Ovis aries: one gene and its partners. The protein of the gene in region 1 interacts with the protein of each later gene in a pairwise test. Links are inferred from orthologs where the notes say so. Each region holds a gene or a part of one and is shown in the gene's direction. Other genes may lie near its edges.

Region 1 (3,649 bases):
TCAAAAGTGTTCGTCTAAGTGCATTTTTGCTAGTAACAGTTGAATCTGTTCCTGAGCCACATGCTTGTACAGGGTATTTTTTTTATATGTGATTTTGCTAATTCTCAAAACAAGCTTGAAAAGTATTTGTTATCCTCATCTTTGACAGATAAGGACTTAGAAAAGTTATACCTGTTATCTCACAGTTACTAAGTAGCAAGACTTGGGCCCAAGTCTGCCTCTTCCAGAGCTTGCCCTTCTGTACCACATTTCCTTTGTATAGGAATTTAAATACCTGGACATGCCTTTCACTCTCTAGAATGAGGTCAAAGAGGAAGCTTCTATGCATTCTAAGAAATAATCTCGAGAAAAATGCCTGGCAGTCCAGTGGTTTAGACTGCTCGCTTCCACTGTAGAGGGCTTGGATTTGATTCTTGGGAAGCTAAGATCCTATAAGCCACATAGCATGGCCAAAAATATTTTTTTAATTAAAAATAAATAAAGATAACAAGTCCTGAGCTGAACAGAACATTTGCTTTCACAACGTGATGTTTCTCTTGTGCTTGTAATTTTAGATGCTCCTATGGAATAAATATTCCCAGATATAGAGAACATGGCATTGGGTGAAAGAACCCTTAAGTGATACAGTTTGTTTCTTATTTCCAGAGACACTGAGAGGAACAAAGACATTGCTTTCCTTGAAGCCCAGATATACGAATATGTAGAGATTCTTGGGGTAAGTGACTCAGCTGAGGGCTGTAAATGCTCCAAGTTGTGGAAGTAAGAAGCTATGAACTTGTAGGATATTTTTTACGATTGCAAGAGAAAATGCATAGATCAAACTACTGTAGCCGAAAATTGTGTTCTCCCATGGTATTTAGCCCTTCACTGAGGTCCTGCTCTGTTGTTAGGGGTCTGTTGTTAGGTGACATTCCTAGGTTTGCTCAATCCCCTGAGGCTGGGTGGGAGAGTAGACTCCCCTCTCCATGTAGAATCCAGATTCTTTCCCTGAGCTCCAGAATAGAGCCAGGGGTGATCCAGGAAGCAGACACTCAAAAGGTGTGTAAGATGTGACTAGAGTCATCTGTTGGCTCCCTCTTTTACACCTGCTTTGGATAAAAGGAGGTTAGCCAGACGTTGGATACGTGGGATACTTATACTCTCCACAGGGAACTAGAACTGTGCGAGTGTGGGCAGCAGTCTGAGTTGCCAGTCCTCTGAAGACGACTGAGGCTAATCTTTGCCCCTGACATAGGTGTGCCCACAGCAGCAGGTCTTCATGAATGACTTTCTCTGAAAAGGCATAACTTACATGTTCACAGGGTTGGAGCAACTTACATGGTACTAGGTTTGGAGGTTAGTGGTGCAGAACTGGCTGTGAGCTGCTCCTTGAGTATTTTTTCAAGAAGAAGCTGAAGAGGGTTACAGGTACAAAAAGGCCTACCCAACCAAGATGCTTATCTTAGAGAAAGTTGGGGGAGGAGCAGGAGAAAATGATTCTCTTTCAGGGAAGAGAAGGTGGAAGATGGTCATTGTCTCTGGGAGTGCTGCAGAGAGGACCAGCCTTTCTGAGTGTCTGCTTTGTGCAGTTTTCAACTGCTCTCAGAGCCTTTTCCTTTCCAGATGCTCACATGGTGCTTTGAGTAGGTGGCTCTGGTTCAGATAGCTGGTCCACATGTCTTTGTCTCTTGCCCTTGTTTGATGACCACGTGTATAATAACTCATAAAACTAGAGTCATTGTTGGATCCCACTGTTACAACTCCTTTGGATGAAAGGGATTAGCTAGACATTGGATATGTGGGATACTTATACTCTCCACACTGAACTAGGACTGTGCTAGTGTGGGCCCTTGGACTGCAAGGAGGTTCAGCCAGTCCATCCTAAAGGAGATCAGTCCTAGGTGTTCATTGGAAGGACTGATGTTGAAGCTGAAACTCCAGTACTTTGGCCACCTCATGCGAAGAGCTGACTCATTTGAAAAAACCCTGATGCTGGGAGGGATTGGGGACAGGAGGAGAAGGGGACAACAGAGGATGAGATGGTTGGATGGCATCACCGACTTGATGTACATGGGTTTGGGTGGACTCCGGGAGATTGTGAGGGACAGGGAGGCCTGGCGTGCTGCAGTTCATGGGGTCGCAAAGAGTCAGACACGACTGAGCGACTGAACTGAACTGAGTGTGGACAGCAGACTGAGTCACCGGTCCTTTGAAGACAAATGCGAGGCTCATCTGTGCCCCTGACATAAGGTGTGCCCACAAGTCCTACCTTTGAGAGCATTTTGCTTTCCCCGCCAGGAGGTGGCACTATTCTCCTTGGAATTCCAGCCAGTTCCAGCCAAAATGAGTTCCAAAAGTTGATCTTGTTATGAATTGGTATTATTTTTACCATTGCTTCACCATTTACTGACACCTGTTGGTGTCCAAATATTATGCTAAATCTTTGAATGCAGTCGTGAATGTGACATAGCCTCTTATCCTTGAAAAGCCCAGTTTGTGACTGAGGGCTACAGATAACTGCAGTATAATGTGATGTTCACTGTAATACTTTGAGATTGGGTGTTCTAAGTATAAAGAGGGAGATTAAGATGTTCCAGGTGGAGGAAACAGCAAGTATGAAGGTAAAATTACTGTGAAAGGAAATAATGAGAAAACAAACCATTGTCCCTGGGTATGTCTGGTGAGGGATGGTGTAGTCAGAGAAAAATTTGGAAAGTTATTGTATGTTGAGAGGTTGGACCTTGTCCTTTAAGTAGCAGAAAGCAGATTAAAGTGTTTTTAAGCAAAGTGTGCCACGAGATTGGTTTTCTCCAGCAGATAAATCTGGGGACAGCATGGAAGCTAGACTGGAGTGAGGACAGACTCGGGGCAAGTTGGAACGTTGTCACCTTGGTGAGGGCAATAACAGTGGGAAAGAGAAAGGAAGACTGATTCAGGGAACGGTTTAGGGACAGAAGAGAAAAGACTTCTATTGTTCTGCGATTGTCTGTGGCCTCAGATGACTAACTAGGCAAGTGCTAGGTTTAACTTTTTCCGTTTTTTTTGTTTTGTTTTTACTTTTTCCTTTAAGATCAGGAAAGGTCTGCTGAAGAGGAATTCTGTTTGAAAGCAAGACTTTCCTTTTGTTGTGCAAGAAAGAAAACTTGATCCTTAAAAATGAAGGATCAACAAAGGTTATAGGAAAACAGGAAATTTCCCTTTTTGTTCTGCACTCTTCTCTCACCTCCCCTTTCATTCATGGCCCTGACATAGGAGCAGCGACATCTCACTCACGAAAACGTGCAACGCAAGCAGGCGAGGACTGGAGAAGAGCGGGAAGAGGAAGAGGAGGAGCAGATCAGTGAGAGTGAGAGCGAAGACGAAGAGAACGAGATCATTTACAACCCCAAAAACCTGCCCCTGGGCTGGGACGGCAAAGTCAGTCCTCCGCTGCCCTCTTTCCCCCTTCTCTCATTTTGGCAGCACATGCAGACACTGGTCTAATACTGTTTTTCTTTTGTCTCATTTCTTTTAGCCCATTCCTTACTGGTTGTACAAGCTTCATGGCCTAAATATCAACTATAACTGTGAGATTTGTGGAAACTATACCTACCGAGGTCCTAAGGCCTTCCAGCGGCACTTTGCTGTAAGAAATTTGGCGCTTCTCCTGGACATGGAAGCTTGAAACATG
Region 2 (3,658 bases), on another chromosome or scaffold:
CAGCCATAGGTATGCATGTATCTATTCTTCTGCCATGGGTTTCCCTTGTGGCCAGCTGGTAAAGAATCCACCTGCCATGTGGGAGACCTGGGTTTGATCCCTGGGTTGGGAAGATCCCCTGGAGAAGGGAAAGGCTACCCACCCACTCCAGTATTCTGGCCTGGAGAATTCCATGGACTGTATAGCCCATGGGGTCGCAAAGAGTTGGACACGACTGAGCGTCTTCCACTTTCACTTCTTTCATTCTCCCCCGTGAGCTTTATACATTTTTTCAATCCGTCAAAGCACCTACCAGAGTGCTGGAGAAACAGAGGTCTACGCGTTGTGTTCCTGTTAGTCGCTCAGTCGTGTCCAACTCTTTGCGATCCCAACAGGCTCCTCTGTCCATGGAATTCTCCAGGCAGAAATACTGGAGTGAGTTGTCGTTCCCTTCTCCAGGGGATCTTCCCTACCCAGAGATCAAACTTGGGTCTCCTGCATTGCAGGCAGATTCTTGACCGTCTGAGCCACGAGGGAAGCCCTCCAAACCACTGAGAGATGAATTTAAATGGAACTAAGTGTTTGATAAGGAGTGGTAAACGTATCACGATAAAAACTTAGACAATTGCTTGTTTAGGGTTTATTAATGAAGCTGTGCTTATAGGAGGTTCGTCTTAAATTTGCAACCTGCCCTTGACTTGGAAAGTCCTTGTCGTCCGTCCCTCTCGGGCTGAAGGCCGAGGTGTTGTTCACCCTCCTGCCGCACGGAGGCGCCAGGGGAAACCCCGCGCGGCGAGGATCGGCGGGTGGTGCCCGTCTTGGCCCGGGAGGGCCGGACTCCCACAATGCACCTTGCATCAACACGGCGCTGGGGGCGGCTGCCGGGAGGTGCTGGCGGGCCCCCCAGGAAACCCCGCACGCAACCCGAGGCGTATTAGACGGGCCCCAGGTGGCAGCCATGGCGGAGCTGGCACCTGCTCGGGTAAGATTCCTTCTCGTGCGGGCCCGGGGGCGCGTTGGGGGTGGGGGAGCCCCTGGCCGGGGGCTGGGCTTCGAGGTGCGGCCCCGGCGGGGCTGGGCGTCGGTAGTCAGCGGCTGGCGCGGGTCCACGCTGACCTTCCCCCGAGGACCCCAGCGCCCTGCCCTCTCGCGGAAGGTTCCCTCCGCGTCGGCCGTATCCCCGGCGTCTTCCTGAGAAACTTCGCCGAGGCTTGTTTCATGTTCTTGGATTTGCTACCGTCCCGACCTGTTTTCGTCGCGCCCTAAGAGAGCCCGTTTCTTGGCTGGTGAGGAGGCGCGGATGGGAAACCCTGAGTCCCTGTCATTGCCAGCGAACTTACCCCGTGTTCCGGGACCCCAGGACTCTGCTTCTCTGTGACCAGCTCGTTCTCGGCCTGATGGGGCAGCCCTCGTTCCTTTTGCCGTGCTCTCTCCTGCTGCAGACTCTGCACTGGTTTGCAGCCGCGCTGGTTGAAGTTAAGGCAGGGCTTTCTCTCCCTGGGGGGCAGGCGTTACCCTCACTGTGTAAGTTGCTGGCTTTTTGTCTGGGAAGCTGTCGATCTTTCCGTCTCCTCTCCCACATGTTCCCATTCAGGGAATGGCAAGACGTGAAGCTTGGGCACGGAGTCGGGAAACCGGGTTTTAGCCCGTAACTCAGCTTTCAGCTATCCAGTCTAGTGATTTTAGGTAACTGTGTTCACTGTAAGCTTCTGTTTCCTTAGCTGTAAATTGAGTGTTTGGCTAGTTACTAGATGATATGGTGGCTCAGACAGTAAAGAATCCGCCTGCAATGCAGAAGACCCAGGTTCTATCTCTGGGTCGGGAAGATCCCCTGGAGGAGGCCTTGGCAACCCACTCCAGTGTTCTGCCTGGAGAATCCCATGGACAGAGGATATTGGCGGGCTGTAGTCTATAAGGTCACAAAGACTAGAACAGGACTGAAGCGACTGAGTTTGCATCACACAAGGTTCTTGGCAGCTCTGACAGTCTTTATTATTACGAAGTGTTGGTTACTTTGATGATATGAGAGGATTTGCTGTAGAAAGGGCAGGTGGAGTTCAGTTGGTCTTCAGGGCAGCATTTCTTGATCTAAAGACACTTTCAGAATCATGTGAGAGGGCTATGGAGATCCTGTTGTGAAAATTTGACCGTGAGCTGGGTGCCTTGTATTTGATTCTTGTGGGAAGTTGGTAAGAACTGAGGGGAAGGATTGGGAGACTTAATACAGTGTGTGTTTTCAATGAATTATGACAACAAGACACAAATGTTCATGATATCACTATATTTACCTTATTTGATTCCTTTAAGCTAAGGTGATCTAGTCAAAGACTTGCCTTTTTTCTCAGACCATGTTATAATACTAAAGTTGGGCTGGAGGATACATTACTAACTTCCAGAATACCTCTTCCTAACTGGTCAGTGCAGTTTCCTACATGTCTTCAACAGATCTTGTTAAAAGGAAGTCTTGTCCTCCAAAATCCCCAAGTATGCTTTAATTAATTTATGGATCTATCAATGCAGAACATATTTAAATTGTTCTCAAGCATATTTCGTTTCTCGTCTTCAGATAAGATTCTGTAACTCTTGTTTGGCCAGTATGGCCAAAGGGTGCCCTGATGAAAACAACGAAAAATCCTGAGGTGAGGGAACAAATATATTTGAAATGTAGTTAGTAGAACATATGAAAGAGCCCAAAGACTAAGTGAAAGAGCAAGCTCTTCAGAGATAATAAGGATTTCTGAAGCCAACTTTGAGGACATTTACTGAACATTCACTGGTAGTGTTTATAACCTCAAGGGACATTGGAAAATAGGCAAAACTCAGAGCCTAAGATGGGAAGTCTCAGACGCCTTCAACTCCAGTCTCATAACATTGAAACTTCAAAGGGCAACCTTAAGGGTGAACTGGAAGTAAGCTCCCACCTCTAGGGAGTGATTGCAGAGAAAATCATGACAAACCTTGGTGCCGAGAGATGGGTACAAGGTGCCCCTTGAGAATTCATGTTGACTCTCCAGTGGGCTTATTGCCTGAATTCATATGACCTCAAATCTCTGAAGTATTCAACACTTAGCTCAGACTTCAAATAATTCTCATAGATAAAATCTAAGAAAAAATGAATTCCCAATAAAAGCTATGCAAAAAGTAATGAAAAACTCTGAGAAAAAGCCAGTAAAATGAATGGACAAAAAATTAGTCATTCAGAGATTTCAGAGGTTGCAATTTCAGAAGAAAAACCTATTGGAATTCCAATAGGAAACACACTCAGTTTGCACTGGAGGCCATGTTTGATGAGTGGTTAATGGCTGAGGATATCATAGGACTGGTGCAAATACAAATACTTAGAAGCCCAGTAGATCCCAATCAGGATAAACATAAAGAAATCTCTACCTAGACACACGATAGTGAAGGTACAGAATACAATGCAGAGACAGTTCTTTAAAAAGATTGGCTTCAAATGAACCATTCTTAAGACTGATGAGGTTCATCTCGGCAACTCTGGAAGCCAACCAGCAGTAGACTAGCATCGTGGAAAGGCTAAAAGAAAATAACTATGTAGTCCCATATTTATACTTCTCAAAAGTGTCTTTTAAAAAAATGGTAAAATGTTTTCAGACAGAACTGACAATTTGTTACTAGTATACTCATTAAAGGAATTCTAAAGAATGTACTTAAGGTACAA
Region 3 (3,690 bases), on another chromosome or scaffold:
TCTAAAGGTTTTCACCTGGAAAATGGGGATGGTAACAATGAGTGTCTACCCCACAAGGTTGTTTCTGAATATTAAATGAGACCATGTTTGCAGCCTCCTTTGTACAATACCTGGCATGCAGTAAATACCCAACAAATGGCAGCTATTACAATAATTAGTAGTAGTAACAAGAGATGTCGGGACATACCTAGCCCTCAAGATTGACATCAGAGTGGACCACCACATCCTCTCATCATTGCGCCTCAATCTGGGCCCCTGAAGCCCAAAGAGGGGATGGTTCTTTCCAAAGATGATAGTTTCGACGTTCCAGGAGCATCTGAATCAAACGTACCCCGTGTACCCTTAAACCATTCAGGCAGTCTGATTAATCCACGAGCGGCACTGCAAGACCCGGCTTCGAGAGGCCACCCCCGCTCGCCGTCCTTGGGCCCAGGCGCTTAGCCTCGATCTCCTTCGAGGCGGTAACAAGGGTGGGAGTGGGAATGTCAGAAAACACAAAAGCGGGGCAGTACTGGCCCGCTCCGGCTCAGCGCACTCTGGAGCGGATAAAACGGCGGCATCAGGCACCAGCCAGCCTACGGCGACCAGCAGCACGCCCTCAGGAAAAAGTAATTACTGGTCCCACTCAAAACTCGGGCAGGCGGCTCAGAGTCCCAGCCTCTCAGGCCTCTCTGCAAGAGGCCGGCGGCGGCCGCGCGGCGAGAGCCCCGGACGGGGGCCGAGCCAGGGGCGGCGGCAGACGCGCCACCCGCGACCGGGCTTCGACGGCCGGGGCGGGGACTGGGCGGAGGAGGCGGGCGCGCGGCCCGCTCGCGCCTGCGCCGCCGCAGGGAGCGCGCACGCAAGCTCGGGCGCGCGCGCGGCTGGCGTTTCCTCGGCGCGGAGGAGGGGGAACGCGCTGAGGTGAGGCACGAGGCGCTGCGGGGCGGCTGTTCGCGGGCCGTGAGCCCCACTCGCGGGACGAGGTGGGAGGCGGGGACCGCGAGGGGCGGCCAGGTTGCGGGCGGGCTGCGGGCCCCGGCGGCGTCACGGGCGAGAGGGGCGGGCGGGCGGGCGTGCGGCGCGGGCCACGCCGCGCGGTGGGGGAGGGCGGCGCGGGCCGGGACTGAGCCCTGGGGCCGCGCCCCGCCCCCTGAACGGCCCGCCGGGTCCCCGCCTCGGCATTCCTGTCGCTGCCGCGGTGGAGCGCGAAATCCCGTTGTTAACAAAGGGCCGACGTGACCCCTTGTTTTCAGATAGGCCTTCCAAGTAGATATTTCGTATCTTCAGAGCTGAGGTTGTCTGAGTCTCCAGTAAAATTACGCCCAAGATCATATAATTAATGAGGGACCAAGTGAGGCTTCGAATCTTGCTGCGAATCTCTTCCAAGCCTGCCCCTGTCCTCTGCACCACACCGACGAGGAAAGGCTCTTCACGCCCCTTTCCTCCTCCTCCCAGTAACTTCTTGGACTTTGGCAAATGTTAACTTGGAGGTAGCAGCCACCCTTTCGTGAATGTTAGCGTCAGAAATGTCTCCAGTGAGAAGAACGGAGTGGAGAAAGAATTTGTGCTTAGAACATGGAGCATTTATGAGGCTATGTACATCCTTTAGTTGACTATCTCTATTAATCTCTGTTGAAGTGACGCTGCTGTTCACTAACTGTAAAACATACTGCAAATAATCTTTCAGGGCTTCTTTCCCTCCTTGAAAAAGCTCCATGCCTCAGAAGATTGTAAGGATTCACAGATAATCCACATACAGTGGTGCCACAGTGTCTAGCTTAAACGTCAATAAATGTTCGCTATTTGTGGCCCAGACGGTAAAGAATCTACCTGCAATGCAGGAGGCCTGGGTTCAATCCCTGGGTGGGGAAGGTCCCGTGGAGAAGAGAATGGCAACCCACTCCAGTATTCCTGCCTGGAAAATCCCACGGACAGAGGAACCTGGTGGGCTATAGGCCATGGGGTTGCAGAGTCGGACATGACTGAGCAACTAACACAATATTTTGTTACTGAGTGCATAATCCCTCTTACTGAACTCGTGTTTCTTCAAACTCATTTTTTCGGGTCTAGAGTAGAGGGAGAACCACTCCGACTCATCCTGAAAAAGACAAGTTCATTGACAGTGTTATCTGAGCGTTGTATACACTTACTGCTACTGCTAAGTCACTTCAGTTGTGTCCGACTCTGTGCGACCCCATAGATGGCAGCCCACCAGGCTCCCCCGTCCCTGGGATTCTACAGGTGAGAACACTGGAGTGGGTTGCCATTTCCTTCTCCAATGCATGAAAGTGAAAAGTGAAAGGGAAGTCGCTCAGTTGTGTCCGACTCGCAGCGACCCCATGGACTGCAGCCCTCCAGGCTCCTCCATCCATGGATCCTCCAGGCAAGAGTACTGGAGTGGGGTGCCAACACTTGATGACTTATTCCAAGCTAAAACTGTCAGGTGAAAAAAGTCGCTGTCAGAGAACTAAAGGTAACCTTTTTGTAGAACTAATACTTATTTGTCTGTTGTTCTTGTTTAGTTACTAAGTCATTGGCAGACTTGAACCCATATCTCTGACATTAGGAGGCAGATTCTTAACCATTGAGCCACCTGGGAAGCCCTCATTTGTCCATTACATTTGTGTTTATTGAATTCTTTCTGCTTGGCACTAGGTACCAAGTACTTTAAGACATACAGATTTGTATTTGATGCGGTCCTTGCTTTCGTTAGTTTAGAAGTGGGAAGAATACGCATTCAGAAGTAATTCTCACAAAGGAGAATGTAAACAATGCCGAAAAAAAGAGAGAGAGAAAAGGCTGTGGAAGATTAGAAAGGGGGGATTTTTTCTTTGCTTAGTGTGAAATAGGAGTTCATTTATGTCTTCAAAAAGATGACTTGGTATATTGTACATACCTACTTCCCTAGAGGTCCAATGGCTAAGACTCTGCATTCTCAATACAGGGAGCCCAGGTTCGATCCCTAGTCAGGGACCTAGATCCTGCAGGCCTCAACTAAGACCTAACACCATCAAATAAATAAATACAGGAAAAAAAAAAACTCGTTCAAATAATAAATTAGTGAACAAAATGTATGTTGTGATAGGATTCCTAAGTTTTCTAGTAATAGAAGTTCATTCAGATTAAAGTATTATTGGAAAGATAGAGAAATGAGGGGGAAAAAGAAGCTTGAACAGTTGGGCCACCCTTGGGGATGGGAACCTCGAAGGGCCAGATCTCATGGACCAGATTCTCTGGCTAGTGAATGACTGAGCTCCAACTACCCTCTGTCCTTGTGTATCTTACTCAATATTCAGGTTTCTGCAAGACCAGATTGGATTGCTTTAGCTGCTGTAGAGGAGGAGGATAGAGTATTGTGATTCACAATCTCACCAAAGCAGTAGGAGATGTGGGAGAGTCCATTTTCCAAACGATGGAGGGCTAAGGAGAGAAGTGATGCCAGGCAGAGAAAATCAGTTGTTTATTAGAACTGTGTAGCCTTTATAGCGGAGAAGGCAATGGCAGCCCACTCCAGTACTCTTGCCTGGAAAATCCATGGATGGAGGAGCCTGGTAGGCTGCAGTCCATGGGGTGGCTAAGAGTCAGGCGACTGAGTGGCTTCACTTTCACTTTTCACTTTCATGCATTGGAGAAGGAAATGGCAACCCACTCCAGTGTTCTTGCCTGGAGAATCCCAGGGACGGGGGAGCCTGGTAGGCTGCCGTCTAT

The links. The genes of interacting proteins can lie anywhere in the genome.
Region 2: the proteins of SF3A3 (region 1) and ZNF212 interact in binary tests that used the Homo sapiens proteins (3 or more experiments, as listed by UniProt). The two-hybrid records come from large-scale screens. The link is inferred for Ovis aries from reciprocal best matches to the Homo sapiens genes SF3A3 and ZNF212.
Region 3: the proteins of SF3A3 (region 1) and TADA2A interact in binary tests that used the Homo sapiens proteins (3 or more experiments, as listed by UniProt). The two-hybrid records come from large-scale screens. The link is inferred for Ovis aries from reciprocal best matches to the Homo sapiens genes SF3A3 and TADA2A.

Annotation. Positions count from the first base shown.
Region 1 is NC_056054.1:12,722,637-12,726,285, reverse strand, and holds part of SF3A3 (splicing factor 3A subunit 3), read left to right. Parts: intron 1-645; coding exon 646-715; intron 716-3,231; coding exon 3,232-3,396; intron 3,397-3,493; coding exon 3,494-3,604; intron 3,605-3,649. UniProt on the Homo sapiens protein: Component of the 17S U2 SnRNP complex of the spliceosome, a large ribonucleoprotein complex that removes introns from transcribed pre-mRNAs.
Region 2 is NC_056057.1:113,476,256-113,479,913, forward strand, and holds the start of ZNF212 (zinc finger protein 212), read left to right. Parts: upstream 1-821; 5' UTR 822-937; coding exon 938-961; intron 962-3,658.
Region 3 is NC_056064.1:13,423,870-13,427,559, forward strand, and holds the start of TADA2A (transcriptional adapter 2-alpha), read left to right. Parts: upstream 1-853; 5' UTR 854-903; exon of another isoform or gene 904-965; intron 966-2,052; exon of another isoform or gene 2,053-2,057; 5' UTR 2,058-2,223; intron 2,224-3,690. Other genes in the region: ACACA (acetyl-CoA carboxylase 1), read right to left, coding at 188-225. UniProt on the Homo sapiens protein: Component of the ATAC complex, a complex with histone acetyltransferase activity on histones H3 and H4. Required for the function of some acidic activation domains, which activate transcription from a distant site. Binds double-stranded DNA.